Linked DNA regions of Kluyveromyces lactis. The protein of the gene in region 1 interacts with the protein of each later gene in a pairwise test. Links are inferred from orthologs where the notes say so. Each region holds a gene or a part of one and is shown in the gene's direction. Other genes may lie near its edges.

Region 1 (3,938 bases):
CATCAACGAACCAGTAATTGGCTGTATCTTTGGTACTGGTACGAACGGCTGCTACATGGAAAAGCTTGAAAATATTCACAAATTGGATCCAGCTAGCAGAGAAGAACTTCTGTCTCAGGGGAAGACCCATATGTGCATCAATACCGAATGGGGCTCTTTTGATAATGAACTAAATCATTTGCCTACTACAAGTTATGATATTAAGATTGATCAGCAGTTCTCCACCAATCCCGGGTTCCACTTGTTTGAAAAAAGGGTCAGTGGTCTTTATTTGGGTGAAATACTTCGTAACATACTACTAGACCTTGAAAAACAAGAGTTATTCGACTTGAAGGAATCTGTTTTAAAGAACAATCCCTTTATTTTAACCACAGAAACTTTATCACATATCGAAATTGATACCGTTGAGAACGACTTACAGGACACAAGGGATGCTCTTTTAAAGGCTGCTGACTTGGAGACCACCTTCGAAGAACGTGTCTTGATCCAAAAATTGGTAAGAGCTATTTCCAGGAGAGCTGCATTCTTAGCCGCAGTGCCAATTGCTGCAATTTTGATCAAAACCAACGCTTTGAACCAGAGTTATCACTGCCAAGTAGAGGTTGGTTGTGACGGTAGTGTCGTTGAGCACTATCCAGGATTCAGATCTATGATGAGACATGCATTAGCACTTTCTCCAATTGGCCCCGAGGGTGAACGTGATGTCCATCTACGTATCTCCAAGGATGGTTCCGGTGTTGGCGCTGCTTTGTGTGCTTTGCATGCAAATTATTAATTTTAATGACATTTTTTAAACATTTTGATTTGGTTTTAATTCCGCATATAATGCAGTTACGTCTATGAATGACTTTAAAGGATGAAAAACAATAACAATACATTCGCTACAGAGCACCAAACGCACATTTACTTTTATGTAGTTACAGTAGCCAGAAATCTGTTTAATGTATTCAACTCACTCTCTTATAACTTTGTTATGTAAGCTTACTTTATCTATTGGTATCGTACCTTTTTTTTTCCTTTGATTTACAACTGCCCTTCTTCGAGAAATCCCTTAAAAGACAATTTCATAAAATTTAAACCAACCCTCACTGGTTACTTCACGAAAGAATAGTTGAAGATAAAAGAGTTGCTACAATCATTTACAGAACTCATTGACCAAGCAAAGCTTACAGAACAGGTTCTTTAATCACAAATCACTCATAGGTTGGTCGAAATTAAAAATTATGGCTGTTCAAACCGCAGGATCAGACGTTTCACAGAGCAATGCTTCTGTCAGCACTGTCCCTACTAGCCATGACTCGTTCATTCCTAAATATACCAAAAAGCCTTTGTCACATCTAGACATTGACGGATCAGATCAACCTTTCGATCGAGTGCAGTTAACAAAGTTGTTGATTGATGCTTTAAAACAAATCGGATATGAAGAAACTGCAATTACCTTACAAAAGGAGAGCGGTGGGATATTGGTCGAATCAACTCATGTGAAGTCATTGTTTTCTGCTATAAAAGAGGGTAGGTTTTACCACTGTACGTTGGATCTATTGCTTCAGCTACCCATATTTCTCGAGTCCCTTGAACTATCAGGTGACTTATCACATGTCGAATTACCCCAAACAAAACGCAACATTTCAACCACAATAATTGACCACTTTCTCGCTGAATATGAGAAACTAGGTTTCGTGATGAAACGTCTGTCCGAATTCAAGGACGTTGATATAGTTAAGTTAACTATATGCGTGGAAATGCTAGTTGCAATTCAAACTTTGGCTTTCTCTGAGATTTTGATGTCAGATAGACGAATGGCCTTGGAATTATTAAGGCTTGTCATTAGACCTACGATCTCGATTTGGGATACGTTGCTAACACTGCAAACAATGAAATATGACTCAGAAATACAGTGGCAAACAGGAAATGATGTCATGTATTCCAACTCTTTTTCCTCTTTCCAACCTGAACACTTATTATCGCAGCTTTCTACCTTGATTGTATGTGGTCAAAACTCCAATGCTGCACCTTTCGTTACCAGAGAGGCCACATTTGAACACATCGCTCACTTTATTAATCCTAATGATTTAGTTCCTCGTGGTAGATTAATGCAACTATTGAAACAAGCAATTCAATACCAACGTTCAAGAGATTTGTTAAGCTTTCATATTGAGGATTCATCAACTGGTACTAAAAGAAGTGCTTCAAGTACCTATAATTTGTTACAGGATAATGTTACAAAATCAACTCAGTTTCAATTTGATAACATCAAAACATTGAATCGCAACAATGACGAAATCTGGTTCTTACAATTCTCGTCAGATGGGAGATTTTTGGCCAGTGCAAGCCCCTCAAAGAAATTCGAAAGGAAAATCATCATCTATGATGTAAAAAATAACTTCGAAATATATGCTATATGTTGTGAAACTCGTCAGTCTGTTTTATATCTTAAATTTTCCCCTGACAACACGAAATTGATCGCATGTTCAATCAACTCCGCTGCAAAAATATATGACCTAAACCAGCTATCCCCCCCTACATATGATGGCTATTTATGCGAATATGATCAGCTTAAACCTGTAGCATCCGTATTTGTTACATTCCCCACGACTTCAGATTCATCTGCCATTTCATCTAATAATACACCAGCATCAGCTGAAACTATGAGGTTATGGTGTGGAGATTGGTTCCATGATCCCGAATTGAAAGACTTCATCGTATTAGGTTCTCCGGATTCTGATGTAATAATTTATGACATGAAAACGGCTACCATTTTCGCTAGAATTTCGATGACTATGGGAGAAGATTTAAAGTCGTCCTTCCCTCATGTTCATGATATCAAGATTTCATCTGATGATAATGACTTGATTGTGATGAATAATGAGAAGTACATTGATGTGTTTGACATATCAACGTTGAAATACTGCATTAAAGAGAATGCAACGTTCGTTTCTCCCAGAAAGAGACGATTATTGATCGGTAAAAGAATGACTGGAATGCAGTTCCCAGACACTTCTCAATGTTCTCCAGATCCATCACTATCATCATTATTACTAGTCTCGATTCAAAACCAAGAGCTACAACTTTGGGACTATCAAAGAGATATTTTAATACAAAGGTACATCGGTCAAATCCAATCAAATTTCATAATACGTTCATGTTTCGGTTATTATTCAAATTTTATTGCAAGTGGTTCCGAGGATGGAAAGATTTATTTGTGGGATAGGTTCTATGGTAATATCATTGGTGTAATACCTGCCCATTCGGAAAATTCGACAAGTTCACAATCAAAGATATGTAACATTGTTGCATGGAATCCTCAAGATCAAACAATGTTTGCATCCGGCGGTGATGATGGTCTAGTTAAAGTATGGAGGGTATCTGCTACATAGTAGACAATTGTCTAGCTTCTCTTTTTCCTCTTTCCACGTCCAAACCGTGGAAGACTGGTAGTGAAACCACCAAAAAAAGGAATAACAAGTAAAATGCATACCTAATATTATGAGTTTTATCTGTAATTAAGCCGATCAACAGTGGTCCTAGTATTGAGGAGCCTTTATCAGTTACACTAAAAAGACTGAAAAATGTAGATTCTTTCCCACGTGGTACAAGCAAACTGAATAACGAACGCGACACAGCAGCTAAGCCTCCCAAGGACACACCATACCACACTCCCAAGATATACATCTCAAATTTGTGTTTCAAACCAATGTTTTGGAATACAAATCCCGTCATCCCATACAATGGAATAACACTAGACCAAATGATTATAATGATCAAAACCTGCTGCAAGGGAAGTCTCAAACGTTCGCTTAATAAATGGGGTATGTAGACAGCACCAAGCATTGCCATAACCATCGTTATGATACTTAGAGTAATTAGATTTATAGCTGTCATCTTCAACTCCGTTTTGGCAAACAAAATGGCAGTAGAGTTAATTGTCGTCAAAGAAT
Region 2 (3,139 bases), on another chromosome or scaffold:
GTAACCTTTAACATAGATCTTGTTTCGTTGGAAAGTTGGGTGAGATCATTGACCAAAACATCCTTAATCTTCTGGGAACTCCATGTCAGCAAATGAAATGTCAACTGTTCATTGTACTCTGATAGTCTTTTCAAAATCCGTTTGAATTCTTCTTGATTCATATCCTGGTCGATCGCAGTGTCAGCCAAAAAATCAAGGGATCCACTTCTATAGTGACCACCGTAATGGTAGTCCCTTTGACGAGGACTAATTTGCGGTGACGAATTTGACGACGAAAGAAAATTTCCTGTCGTTGAAACGGTAATGTTTGTTTGTGACGTCTTGTTTGTCCGAATACTCGAATCGTTCTGCCTGTCGTAGTTCAATAGATTTGGGATGGAAGCAACACTATGGTAGCTGACACTTTGGGATAATGATTGAGGTGTTCTCGATGTAGGAGTTGCAGATGATGAAATAGAACCAGATTTGGGACTTTGGGACCCCTTTTGTGCCAGCGACGCTGTCATAGTTTCCATGAATGTCATAATAACAATTATACTGACTAGCCGTATGTCTATTTATGTGTATGTGTGATAAGCAATGTTGAACGAATATATTATTCAAAATGATATCGACTGTGTCTTGGCAAAAAAATTTGGTTTGGCTCTGTGGTTCTATTTTGTTATTTCAATTGAATGATAATGAGATTGCAATCTAACGAGTTACCTCTCTGTTAGTTTCGAATCTACTCTTGGCCTTAAATACCTGGCTTATTTGATGTTCGAAGAACTCGGAAAAGTACGCATATATTTATATCATTTCATTTTTGTATAGATCATTTCAGTTCCTTAATTTGATTTGACACTTTTTTGTCATCAGAATCTAAGTAAGTTTCAATTTAGAATATAGAAACGGCTTGGATTGCCTCCTCCATTTCATTATTGATCCTAAACCAATGAATATTGAAACTGTAAAGTTTTTAAATCTGTGTTATGCCCTCGATATGTCTACTGTTTTGTATATTACTACGTAAAATGTCGACTATAGCTGCTATGAGTGACATCTCATGAATCGTTTCCCTCTACTTGAAAGATACAAAAAAAAGAGTCCAGATTCAAGAAGATTTAAATTGAGAAGTTTCTCGATTACTGTTATCTGAAGCTACAAACCACGATTTGATATCTACATGAACTCCTTTTCTTTTCAGAATTGATCTGTCCCATTTCCTCGTCGTCAGAGGCCTGTTCCCTTATTTATTCACAAAGGTTTTTCACGAAATGAACCTTAACATCACTTAGTAAAGAAACTGGGCATTATCAACAGAAAAACAAAAAAATGAGCACCTAATTGTAAGTTGAAAGTGAGACTTCCTTAGCCCCTAATATTGAAAGAAAGAGTGGTACTATACTATTTGCGCTAAGCATAAGCCAATCTAGTTTTCCCTAGACTTATTGCTTCATACAAACGATGACCAATTTTAAATCTACCTATGAGAAGAAATCTTTCACTAGAGAACAATGGATGAAAGTGGTGCAGGACGCCAATCCCTATGATCGCAGCAACAGTGAGTTGTCGAATAATGAGCCGGTAATACCAATGTTATTATTGAACTATTTTGTGGTGATGGCATATGAGGAATCTAGTATCCGCATGGCTAAGGAGCTTGGGTTTTTGAATTCCAACAAAGACATTGAAGAATTCAACTCTGTATATATGATTAAGAAAAGGGCATACATCAAGGAACTTATCAAGAAGGGTGAAATTTTACTAGCTATGGAAAAGATTACCGAGGTATTTGGAATAGAGGTACTCGAAAGTTTGAATGACCATATTACAGATGAAGATTTGAACTTCAAGCTATTGTTGTTGAACCTTATTGAAATGATTCGTTCCCACAACGCCAAGGGCGACCCTAACGATCAGGAGCAGTTTATATTAGAGCTTATCTCTTATGCTCAGGATAAACTTGCTTTGAAAGCAAGCTCCAAAAAAGAGTATATGAAGGAAGTCGAATTAGTTATGACCCTTCTTCTCTTCCCGTTATCGGATGAGGATGGTTCGAGTCCTTCTGCTAAGTTACCAAAGAAGTTGAAACAGCTATATTCCTTAAATATGAGAACTAAAGTAGCTGATCTAGTGAACAGAAAGCTTTTGCAATCGATATTACCGAGGATAAACTCTCAACTCGAAAAATCTGGTTTACCTGACATCTTAGGATCCAGCTTCCAATCAAATCGAGTTCCCACTCTAACAAACGTTATACGATCCATTCCAAGGGAATCTATCACGACAGAAAGGCTTACCGGAGAGCTAGCACATATTGAAGAAAAGCAGGGAAGTTCTATGAGCACCAATTCCGACATGAGTCGCATACAAGGTGAAATCTTTGAAGAGTTAGGTGAGAACTTGCATTCTTATTATATCCCTAACGACGTTAGATTGGTACAAATCATGAAACTTTGGGTTTGGTGTGAAAACCAATTGCATAGTTCGGATGTTGGTGTTCCGAGGGTTGAAGGAGTGATTTAGTGCAAAATCTATAATCTTTTATACTATATATGCATGGGTTCCCTATATTCACATTATGTTTTCAAGCATTTAACGGCAGCTTGCAATTTTCACACCAAAAACTCACAGTCTATAGTGTCACCAGTTTCCATCTTTAAGAAACACAATTGAATATCGTCGAGGTTTTTTGGAAGTTCCTCGCTCATGGTGTTGTAGATTTTTACATTTTTGGTAATGGTGAAGGTTTTGCTTGGCTGTTTGAACTGATCATAAAAGTGACCATCTTTAAAGAAGTGATAAAGTTTTGATTTTAATAGCCTTAATGTACAACCAAACTCTGGTCTTTTTTCATTTTCGAATTCTTCTGGTGAGAATTCAATGTGGAATGTGATTGGATTATCCAACAGAAGCTTTTTGGTATCTTCGTCGATAACTTGGCATCTAACGTATATGTGAGCGACATGCACAGGTTTGGCAAAGAACTTTTCCCTCGATTCGAACTCCTCGATTATGAGACCGGATTTTTCATCAAACCATTCTGTGGCATGGTACGAATCGTCATGTATGAATCGATGGTTTCTAATAAAATCTTCGTCCAATTTAGTGCTGTTCAATTGTTCCCATGTATCCATTTGTAAGGCACTCATTTGAA

What was found.
Region 2: the proteins of GID7 (region 1) and GID8 interact in binary tests that used the Saccharomyces cerevisiae proteins (3 or more experiments, as listed by UniProt). The link is inferred for Kluyveromyces lactis from reciprocal best matches to the Saccharomyces cerevisiae genes GID7 and GID8.

The regions. Positions count from the first base shown.
Region 1 is NC_006039.1:88,755-92,692, forward strand, and holds GID7 (glucose-induced degradation complex subunit GID7), read left to right. Parts: upstream 1-1,223; coding exon 1,224-3,377; downstream 3,378-3,938. Other genes in the region: KLLA0_C01155g (uncharacterized protein), read left to right, coding at 1-775; ATG22 (Atg22p), read right to left, coding at 3,370-3,938.
Region 2 is NC_006042.1:1,569,844-1,572,982, forward strand, and holds GID8 (glucose-induced degradation complex subunit GID8), read left to right. Parts: upstream 1-1,446; coding exon 1,447-2,508; downstream 2,509-3,139. Other genes in the region: GAT2 (Gat2p), read right to left, coding at 1-524; ERG29 (Erg29p), read right to left, coding at 2,598-3,139. UniProt on the Saccharomyces cerevisiae protein: Component of the GID E3 ligase complex recruiting N termini and catalyzing ubiquitination of proteins targeted for degradation.